3 linked regions of the Arabidopsis thaliana genome follow. The protein of the gene in region 3 interacts with the protein of the main gene of each other region in a pairwise test. Each region holds a gene or a part of one and is shown on either strand. Other genes may lie near its edges.

Region 1 (3,833 bases), 7.4 Mb from region 3:
ACCTTGATTATAGCTAGCAATGATTAATATAAGAATTTTTTTTCTGGATAAAGAATTAATTAGAAATTGAGTTGTAAATGTTTTGTGATGTCTAAAATTCTTTTGTTTGCAAATTAGATGTAAATTGATATATTTGAGATTTGTATGAAAGCTAGTTTTATTTTCCCTAAACAAGAAGTTCATTATCTTGGACTTGGAGGTTTTAGAGTTTGAAAGAGTTTACAATTTATAAGAAAAAATAATCACTATATATATATATATAGTGTATATAATGAATTGTTTCACATTAAATTGCAACAACATCAAATAAGGGTAACATACTAACATATAGTTTGTTTGTTTACTCTTTAAAAAAAGGGGATAAACTAAGAGCTATTTCTGCTATAATTTAGGAACAAACTGGATCACATGACAAAAATGCATCATAATTCATATTAAATTTTGTGTATATCTATTTCTCATGTTTAGAAATAACATTCTTGTGTGTTATACATGTTATCAGTTTTTCTTCCTAGATGGAAGTTTTATTGTTGGAGTCTTTTAAAACCATACTCACTATGTTCCTCTTTATTTGATGTTTTGGATTTTAGATAGAAATTAATAAAAAATATGTTTTCTATTTTTATAAAATTATTTTTTTGTTAGTTTAGTAATTTTATTTTTCTTTTTTTATTATTAGTCACAAGCAAAAATAATAACAATATTTTTATAAAACATTAATTTTGGTCGAACAAGTAAAAATAACTCAAAACATCAAATAATTAGAAACTAAAAAAGTAGATATTGTCAAATTTTGTGTTGAGTTCGAATAAGATAATGTGGTCTCCTCCAACAAAATTATTTAGAATAAATGCACTTCTATGACATTAGAGAACCAACTAATTTATTTAGAATAAAACACACATATATATTAACATATAAAGTAATTCTAATTGGCTTGATATAATATATAAGTAAAAAAATGATCTTAATAATCTCTAGTTTTCTTGGGTTGATCTCCACGAGTACAATTTGACTGACCATTATAGAAGTTGAGAAGCGTGCATGTAATAAAAGTTGTATATTACAAATTAGAGAGGAAAAAGAAAGAAAGAAAAAAGATTTGAAGATGTGATCAAGTGTGAAAAGTATTGGAGTAGTCTCCAAATTAATAATTTCGATGCTGGGCATTGACAAGATAACTCTGAAGCTCTCAACTTTAAGACCATCACTTCCTCTGCCACCATTTTCACGTTTACCCAAACACACACATATACAAACAAAATTTTGTTAGTCAATAATTATCACCAAACTGGGGTTATAACAAGGCTTTTGGATACTTGTGCTTGTTGATGTTCTAGGTTCGTATGATAACAAAGTACATCCGTTATATATATTCGAAACACACTTTAATATTAAAAATATATATCCAATTTTCTTGTGAAATTTAGATTATTTGGAATTAAACCTATTTCTCTTGTCTTGGCCACTTGACCGGTTTAGTTTTTTAGACGTATTTTATTATTTCTGTTTAGAAAATAACAACATATATCAACTGATTTTTTACTTCCAATCTCTTTTTGTCAGCACACAAATAGAAAAACGTCTGTAAGCTAAGCTATCAACTAAAACATTAACATATATAATCTTTTACGTTGATAGAAAATAAACATAAATTTCTGAGTTATTTTTTTTTTGGTTGGTGTGTCACTACTTACTTACTACTATACCTTTTTAACAATAAAGAAACACTATTTCTTTTTCTATTCAATATAATATATGTTTTCTATTTGTATAAATCCATTACCTTTGTTTGTTTTATACCAAATGTTCTTTATATATAAGTATATGCCACCTTACTCTATTGAAGTCAAGAACATATCAAAAACCCATGCAAGAAGCTCACAGAGAAAGACCAAACACTTTTGTCTCTTTCTTCAAAACTTTTACATATGATCTTTGCCTCTTTTCCTACAATGGGTTTTGCATAACTTTCACCAAAACCCTCCTCAAAAGCCCTTCACATATTCCCAACACAAGAAAATAAACTCTAAATCCACTTTCACCAAATCTTTTCATTTTTCAGCTAAAATGGATTCAACTGTGTTCATCAATAACCCATCTTTAACCTTACCTTTCTCTTACACATTTACCAGTAGCAGCAACAGTAGCACAACAACGAGCACCACCACAGACTCAAGCTCCGGTCAATGGATGGACGGTCGGATTTGGAGCAAGCTACCACCTCCTCTTCTTGACCGCGTCATTGCTTTTCTTCCACCTCCGGCGTTTTTCCGGACACGTTGCGTCTGCAAGAGATTCTACAGTCTACTTTTCTCCAACACCTTCCTCGAGACATATCTACAACTACTTCCTCTCCGACACAACTGTTTCCTCTTCTTCAAACACAAAACCCTAAAGAGTTACATTTACAAGAGAGGAGGAACAAACGATGATGATTCCAATAAAGCTGAAGGCTTTTTGTTTGATCCTAATGAGATCCGATGGTACCGTCTCTCTTTTGCTTATATCCCTTCAGGGTTTTATCCTTCAGGATCATCAGGAGGGTTAGTGAGTTGGGTCTCCGAAGAAGCTGGTCTTAAAACCATTCTCTTGTGTAACCCTCTTGTCGGATCCGTGAGTCAGTTGCCACCAATATCAAGGCCAAGGCTTTTCCCTTCGATAGGTCTCTCGGTAACACCAACCTCTATTGATGTTACTGTCGCTGGAGATGATCTCATATCTCCTTACGCTGTGAAAAACCTCTCATCGGAGAGTTTCCATGTCGACGCCGGCGGATTCTTTTCCCTCTGGGCGATGACTTCTTCTTTGCCACGGCTTTGTAGCTTGGAATCTGGTAAGATGGTTTACGTGCAAGGCAAGTTTTACTGTATGAACTATAGCCCTTTTAGCGTTTTGTCCTATGAAGTTACTGGAAACCGGTGGATCAAGATTCAAGCTCCGATGAGGAGATTTCTCAGATCTCCAAGCTTGTTAGAGAGCAAAGGGAGGCTTATTCTTGTAGCAGCTGTTGAGAAAAGCAAGTTGAACGTTCCCAAAAGCCTACGACTTTGGAGTTTGCAACAAGATAACGCCACATGGGTCGAGATCGAACGGATGCCTCAGCCGCTCTACACACAGTTTGCAGCAGAAGAAGGTGGAAAAGGATTCGAGTGTGTCGGAAATCAAGAGTTTGTAATGATTGTGTTAAGAGGAACCTCGTTGCAGTTGCTGTTTGATATAGTGAGAAAAAGCTGGCTGTGGGTCCCACCGTGTCCTTACTCCGGCAGTGGTGGCGGTAGCTCAGGTGGCGGTTCAGACGGAGAGGTCTTGCAGGGTTTTGCTTATGACCCGGTGCTTACTACACCGGTGGTTAGTCTTCTTGATCAGTTAACACTTCCATTTCCTGGAGTCTGTTAGTTTTTAGACTTTAAGATAAAGAGACTACTTGTGGTTTCCACTTCTGACGTTAAGACTGCTTGTTGTTTTCTCAAAATTCTGTTTCTTTTATCTTATTACTGTCTGTATGTAGTAAGTTTATATTTCTAATGTCAAATGTCTAATCTTTGACAACATGTCAACAACATATACAGACAGATTTCTAATTGCGTACAATCCAATCCTAAATCCATCAAACTCAAAAACATAACCCTTGGGAGAATGGTTTCACTTGAGCTTAACCTGGAGAATGAGATGAACTTTGCGGTTCATTATTCTCCTGAGTTCTTCATTGGCCTCAATTCCTATCCTCCTGCAAAATTAGCATCAACATAAGATCATCCTTGAGTCATTGATTAGTCAAAAGAATGAATTATGAACGATCTTGTATGCTCTTACCCGATCTTGCAACCGCC
Region 2 (3,600 bases), on a different chromosome or scaffold from region 3:
CCGCTCCAAACCCAACGCCACCTCCATAGCAAACACCTGCCTGAACTGGTGGCGCCTGCTGATACCCTCCTCCTCCTGTCCTTTTAGCATAACCTGATGGGTCACCCACACCCATAGCTTGACCCGGGAATGAAGGATCACCGGTTCCTTGAAACACACCATAAAGCTGTTGCTGTGCAGCTGCGGGTATTACACTAGACGGGTTTTGGTTTTGGTTCGGGTTTGGATTAGGTTTAGGATTAGTGGGATGTTCTCTAACCACACCAGCCTTCACCAAGAAATCCTCAAGTGTCATCTCTCCAAAAGTCGGTTGTCTAGCCGCAGTCTCACCGCCGTTCTGAGCATTGTTCTGTCCATTACTACTACTACTACGTCCATTGCTGTCTCCTCCATTACCGCTACCACCACCTCTATGTATCTCAGACCAAACCTCATCAACAGTCTTCCTACAAAGCGGAGCTGGAAGTGTCAAAGAGCCTTGTCGAGGAAGACTAGACTCGTTCGCTATCCCTCTCTTATTGTTAGCATCTTCGTTGCCTCTAGAACCACCACTAAAGACACCAACACCACCCTCGCCTCCATTGTTATTGTTGTTGTTGAAACCATTGTGATTAGCCGGAACAGAATGTGAACCTGCAGCTGCTGCTGCTTGTTGTTGATTGTTATTATTCTCCTCTGCGTTCCAAATAGAGACAAGAAACTCGTCCATGTTCATGGACCCAAAGTTCTTGCCGTTCTCACATAAAGCATGTTGGAACTCGTCAAGGGTCAATGAGTAGATAGAGGATTGTCTTCCCAAAGAAGTAAACGGATGATTCTCACCACCACCTCCTCCATTATGTCTCGCTTGCGCCATGGACGACTCTACTTCTCGCTCTGACGTCAACTTCGTTTCTCTAGTTACCATTTAACAACTGCATCATATACACAACAATAACCATTTTTATATCTGTATTCACACAAACTATATTGAAATATGGATACCACCTAAACGACAATAACAATTTTGTCTCTTATATATTAAATTCATCGTATTATTTTGACCAAACTTCAGTTACTTGTCCCTGTTCAGCTATTCACGAAACTCACTTAATAGTTGTCCCTTATTCAACTATCACGAAAAAAGACAATTGAATTATTTGATAATTGATGCTCTCAAAGAATGAAATAAATTATTTTGGTAAAGTGGAGTTTAAATGACGTAAAAAATATTGAAATAACAAGAATGAAAGAAGGTAATTAAGTCGGTCCACGTGAAAATAAAGAAGAACGGTCCACATCGTGACAGCGACAAACGATACTAAAATTAGCAATAAATAAACTAATAATTTACTCTTCCAATAAAGTTTTCGTTACCAAAAGAGGAAAATATCTTAACCCACTCGTTTTCTTCTTAAAGCGAACTTATCAACACAAGATTTTTTTCCTCTTTAATCATTTATTAATACGGTTTTAAACAAAAGATAATCTAGAGCTTAACCTGATGATTAGTAAAATAAATTAATCATTAGCTTGGGTCATCATTATATCCGTCTATTACTAAGTATCACTTTACCACAAAGTTTAATATTTGGTAATACGCAGATAAGTAAGGACCAGAAAACGAAGACCTAAACTTATAAATAAAGAGATAGATTTATTTAACAGTCTTCTAATCCAAGATCTTGAAAAATTATAAAACAAGAAAAGTGTTAACCTGAAAATGAAATCTGTGTGTCTAAAAACCGGTGGCTTTGTGTTCCTCCGCCGCCGGAAAACTGAGAGAATCCGCTTCTTGTTATGGAGGTTCTCCTCCTTCACATAGTTTAAAAGCCGCCGGAGAATTTTGACTGAAAGGTTTTGAGAAAGAGAGAGATAAATGGGTAGGAGGCGGTAAAAGAGAGATTGATATTTATGTTCTCACCGTGAGAGTGTGGCGCGTGGGGTCTAAGAAGAGAGGCGTGAAGGTCAACATCTTTTGTCTAAAGTTATCTTTCGACCAATGGAATGCTAACTTAGACAGGTCCAGGTCCAGGCCCATGATCAGAGACAAAGAATCCGTTCGGCTGCGGACGACACGTGTCCTGCACGTGTCTCTCTTCTGTTTCTTGCAGTGTCTTCTCACAGGCTCGACACGTGTGACTTCGGCTACACAAATGTTTTTTTACGTCTAAAACTAGACATGATTTTCTCTCTTTTAAGCATATATAAGATAATAAGAACGTGAAATTTGGATTAGAAGAGCGAATTAAAGTGTGATCTTTTTTTACATATTGGTTCATGATTTGTTTTGTGAAATTGACGGATTAATTTGATTGATCAATACTGATTTACTTTGGTAAAAACATATTTAGGTTAGATTCAAGATGTTATGAAAGAAATAGTCAAAGTTTGTAAACACTTGTTTGTCGTTGAGCTTCTAGCTGGTGAAAGTAGACTTGTTAGATTTTGAATAGAATTACGTTTAGTGAGACAAAAACTTATTAAAGAATTAAAACAAATCAAAGTCGAGAAATTATCCTCTTCCTTTTTTACTTTTTTTTTCGAAGATATTTTATTTAACTTTGACAAAAAAAAAAAAACATGATTCCGAACTTCCATTGGGAGTGCACGTGGACTATTCACTGCATAAGGACTATCGAATTTTAAATGCTTAATTTATCAAGTGTTTCTAATAGCCAAAAAACTAAAAACAAAAATAAAAAAGATTATCCGACCTGCCGGAATCGAACCAGCGACCTAAAGATTACAGCAACTACTACAGTCTTCCGCTCTACCAACTGAGCTAAGGTCGGATTGATGCTAATTAGCCTAATGCGGTTTTATATAAACTTAACTATTAATTATCATATTGGCCTCTTTAGTTACTTTTTTCCTTTGATTGTTTTTAGACCATGCAAACACAAACACAAGTGGCCCATAATTCAATTAATACACCTAATTTTGTTCTGACACATCTCACAATTAATGGCTGTCTAAGCCTAATATTAAACTAGTTGACATTAGCCTAAAATTGGGTGATATACAGAAACAGCTTTTTGAGATGAATGCTGAGAATGTTTTACATAGGTACCAGAACTCTTTACTAATCACCCACAATATATATCAGCAACCAAGAGAAACTTGAGATTCTCATGAATCTCTCTGATCCCGGTTCAAAATATCATAGCAATGCATGTTACAAAACCAAAACTAGCCAACTTTTTGAGAGAGAAGACATCGTTTACTTCTTCACTCCATCATTGGTTAAGAGCGTTTTAACAATGTTATTAACCATACCTGGAGCAAACGGGAACAAATGCCCTGCTCCAGGAATCTCATGGTAATGGATCCATGGCAGCTTCTTCGCAATGTAACGTTGCAGAGTCACAGGGACAAGCACATCATCATCTCCCTGCCACAAGTGCACTGATCCTTCATTGTTCGGGAACAGATTCTCGAGCTCCATTGGATCGAACTCCCAAGTTCCAAATCCAACAATCATGTCACGGTGCAATGTCTCGTGTGTTCCTTGTTGCCTTATTTGTGCCTTCATAGAGACTTAGATTTGATAAATGCAAATAGGTAGGTGAAGAAAAAGAAGTCATGAAGAATGTTGTATATACCTCATGTTGGCTCCTT
Region 3 (3,833 bases):
TCATTTCCACCTAGAACTTCACCAAGACCACCCCATTTGTGAACATTGTTTCCAGATGGGCGGCAAAATGGAAGACTGTAATAGTTGTATGTTTCTTGTGGATTGTTATATGGGCCAACTTTGTTTACCCATAGGGTGACCTGCTCCTCGGCTTGATACTGAAAAAGGTGAAGGCAAAAAAAATTGACTTGACAGAAAAGCACAGAAATGTAAAAGTTTATGGGATTAACTAGTAAGAGAGAGTAAGAACCAAAATTCCATTAGAGAGAACAGAACAAAATGTCAAACGTAGACAGACAGATACTGATAAAGGCTACGTTCAATATCATTTCAAAAATCAGGAGTTAAAGTCTTCACACAAATGATGGTTCCATAGAAATAATGGCTCTTGAATAATGCTACCAGATTGCTCTTGAATAATGCATAACCCGCCTTTATCTATCATCTTTCACGCAGAAAATATATAGTTGGAATCGACTTTAAATGTCACACTACTTGCGAGCGTAAGAAGGCAGAGGAGCAAAAGCATTAAAGCTAGATCTCATGATCTCCAATATCACAAAAGGCAATAACAATTTTGAGCTGAAACTGACCATCAGCAAAAGAAGCCATGTGTGACACTTTCAGTATCACATTTTAGATACCAATTGAAAAAAATCATCAACCCGACCTCGGAACTATAAGATCTACATCTCGAAGATGCTAATACATTAAATGCCACTCAATTACAACACAACTCAGTGTTGATCCAAGTATTTGAACATCAAACAGGCTACCACGTGCAGAAATCAACGAGAATCTCAAACCAACATCAAAATTTCTTATTAAAATCGAGATTGTGAAAAGCCTAAATCACAATGAATAGACAAAATACGCCTAGACTTGCAACGAAAAGATACGCCTAAATCACAATGAATAGAAGCTCGAGGATCCTAGCAATCCGTAAACGAACAGATCCATGAAAAAAAATTCAATCGCAAACACCATGCAAATCACGGATCTACGGACACAGTGCTCGATTTCGAGCTGCATTAAAAGAAAAGAAAAAACGACTGGAGATCCGAGTCTTACCTTGTGATCTGAATCGGATGCGAACGTAGGAGTGAGAAGGGAAACGAGAAGAAGGAACACGAGGACGGCGGCGGAGGAGGAAGACGGCATCGTGAAAACCGGCGGACGATCAGATCTGAGGAAGGACGGAGCGAGAGATACCAATCGAGAGAGAGCGAGATCCTCAGCTCAGTGTTTTCACTTTGTAGAGATTTTGGGTAATACAAAAACAACGATAAGGCTTACAACTTCTTTTTTGCTCTATTAATTAATTGGGCTTGTAGTACTAAGAAACGTATATTAAGTTTAAAACCCATATAAGGTCTTTTAATGTTTGCTCTATTAATTGATTGGGCCTTTCGTTCTAACAAGTGTATATTAGTTTAGCGGCCCATATAAGGTCTATTAATGTTTTCATATACGCGCACGAACTATGTCATTTCAATTAAAATATACACTCACACATGGGAACATAACTTCTTCTTTTTTTGTATATATGTTGAAAAATGTTAAAAGTAGATGAAAATCATGACATAAATTCATTAAAAGGTTACGTTTGAGTGACAATCTTCATAGAGAAAAATGTGATTTATGGACAATGACTCTCTCTATATAGAACCAAAAGAATCTAAGGCGAATTTGCTTGCTGCTGACCACTCGTGTCGTGTAAATAGTGTATAGTTGAAGTGTTGAATTAGGGAGAAAAAAAGCGCGTTGGTGACAAAAAAAAACGTAGTTATACACTCGAATCAGCAAGGGAAACAAACATGTATGGATCGCATGGAAACTTGTGGGTCCCTCTTTCTTTTAAAAAATCTCGTATTAATTAAATAAATGGAAAAAAAAACATGATGGGAGTTTGTTTAGGCAGGGGAGATTCTTCTTCATTCTCATCATTATTTCTCTATTAATTTCACCCCAAAAAAGAAAAAAGAAAAATTCCAACAAGAAAAAAAAAAGAAAAAGAAAGTTGATTCTTCGCTTAGGCTTGAAATCTCTCCAATCCAAATCTCAAATTAACCTTCCATCGTCATCTCTTTCCCTTTTTTTTTCCCACTTTCTTTGCGAATCGCGAGATCTCGGAATCGCATCCTTGATTTTGGGATACTGTTTTTTTTTTTTTTAATCTTGTTTCATTTTCACGTGAAATTCTTAGCTGCTAGAACTGGACTTGAATTTCAACGAGAATTTTGGAGATTTTTTTTTTGTTTGGGTTTTTCCTTTCTGTTTTGTGTGTTTGGAATTAGGGTTGTCGAGCGAGAATGGACAAGTACGAGCTGGTGAAAGACATAGGTGCTGGGAATTTTGGAGTTGCCAGGCTCATGAAGGTCAAAAACTCTAAGGAACTTGTTGCCATGAAGTACATCGAGCGTGGTCCTAAGGTATATTCCTCTCTGTTTTTGTGTTTTCATTGCTCTCCATGAGCTGGTGATCCTATACCCAGATATGCATAATTGGAATGAATTGCTATTAAGCAGAAGAGTCGATTTTTTTTTGTAAATTTCTTATCGTTAGCTGATTGGGTGTTTAACGTAACGTTAGTTATCTTGTAGTTGTAATATTTTTCCTGAAAAGATTTGTACAATGAGTATTTGCTTTGTTTGTTTTTTTTGATACAGATTGATGAGAATGTGGCAAGAGAGATCATTAATCACAGATCACTTCGCCATCCGAATATAATCCGGTTCAAGGAGGTTAGTGAATTTCTTGTTGCTTGACATGGGTGGTGTTCTTGCTATGAAAAAGTTTGTTGATAATCTCTTATATCTTTCATCTTGCATTCCTTGTTGGGTTTATGGATTTTATAGGTGGTGTTGACTCCAACCCATCTTGCCATTGCCATGGAATATGCTGCTGGTGGTGAACTATTCGAGCGTATATGCAGTGCTGGAAGATTTAGTGAGGATGAGGTGAGCTTGCCATTTGAAAAATTGTGCTGTGCTTTTGCGAATATGAAATTACTAGTATTTAGGATAATCTGCATGGTCTTTGGAAAGATTAGGAGGAAGGGAACAAGAGAAAACATGTGAACCTCCTTTTATTTAGTATCAGGCATTAAACAGTTAGGGTCTACGTTCTAATCCTTTCTCTCTTTTCCAGGCGAGATATTTCTTCCAGCAGCTTATATCAGGTGTTAGCTATTGCCATGCTATGGTAATGTAGAGACAATGACTTAAGCAAAATTTACTTATCCATTGGCTGTTTGAAGTCGTTTTTTTTTAATCATGTGTTGACTATTTTGTTGCAGCAAATATGCCATAGAGATCTGAAGCTCGAGAATACGCTCTTGGATGGAAGTCCTGCTCCACGTCTGAAAATCTGTGATTTTGGTTATTCCAAGGTCTGACACTAAAAAAAAATCCAAGTTCCCCCCTTGTCGACGAGATCCTCTTTTGTGATTTGTTATTCTCTTTTTTTTAGTCCTCTCTGCTGCACTCTAGGCCCAAATCAACAGTTGGAACTCCAGCATATATTGCACCTGAGGTCCTTTCTCGAAGAGAATATGATGGCAAGGTAATCAAGCATCATGCACAATGCAATGAACTTCCATAAACCCATGAGTATTTATGATATTGTCATGCTCTTTACATTTTTACTTTTGAATTTAAAAAGTCATCTTTGTGGAAGTCGCTAAGATTTGAAGCATTTTTTCTTCTTTCAGATGGCTGATGTATGGTCTTGTGGTGTGACTCTTTATGTCATGCTGGTTGGAGCATACCCATTTGAAGACCAGGAAGACCCCAAGAACTTCAGGAAAACAATACAAGTAGGTTTCTTTTTTG

Evidence for each region.
Region 1: the proteins of SNRK2.4 (region 3) and UFO interact in binary tests that used the Arabidopsis thaliana proteins (3 or more experiments, as listed by UniProt).
Region 2: the proteins of SNRK2.4 (region 3) and ABI5 interact in binary tests that used the Arabidopsis thaliana proteins (3 or more experiments, as listed by UniProt).

Annotation. Positions count from the first base shown.
Region 1 is NC_003070.9:11,034,110-11,037,942, forward strand, and holds UFO (F-box family protein), read left to right. Parts: upstream 1-1,882; 5' UTR 1,883-2,070; coding exon 2,071-3,399; downstream 3,400-3,833. Other genes in the region: AT1G30960 (GTP-binding family protein), read right to left, coding at 3,646-3,730, 3,817-3,833. UniProt on the Arabidopsis thaliana protein: Component of SCF(ASK-cullin-F-box) E3 ubiquitin ligase complexes, which may mediate the ubiquitination and subsequent proteasomal degradation of target proteins. Considered as a meristem identity factor required for normal growth of the young floral meristem.
Region 2 is NC_003071.7:15,205,665-15,209,264, forward strand, and holds the start of ABI5 (Basic-leucine zipper (bZIP) transcription factor family protein), read right to left. Parts: upstream 1,973-3,600; 5' UTR 1,697-1,972; intron 997-1,696; exon of another isoform or gene 915-996; 5' UTR 908-914; coding exon 1-907. Other genes in the region: AT2G36290 (alpha/beta-Hydrolases superfamily protein), read right to left, coding at 3,203-3,508, 3,585-3,600. UniProt on the Arabidopsis thaliana protein: Participates in ABA-regulated gene expression during seed development and subsequent vegetative stage by acting as the major mediator of ABA repression of growth.
Region 3 is NC_003070.9:3,656,650-3,660,482, reverse strand, and holds the start of SNRK2.4 (Protein kinase superfamily protein), read left to right. Parts: upstream 1-1,874; 5' UTR 1,875-2,312; coding exon 2,313-2,432; intron 2,433-2,669; coding exon 2,670-2,744; intron 2,745-2,858; coding exon 2,859-2,960; intron 2,961-3,052; coding exon 3,053-3,076; intron 3,077-3,150; coding exon 3,151-3,204; intron 3,205-3,298; coding exon 3,299-3,391; intron 3,392-3,471; coding exon 3,472-3,564; intron 3,565-3,712; coding exon 3,713-3,817; intron 3,818-3,833. Other genes in the region: TMN1 (transmembrane nine 1), read right to left, coding at 1-158, 1,072-1,161.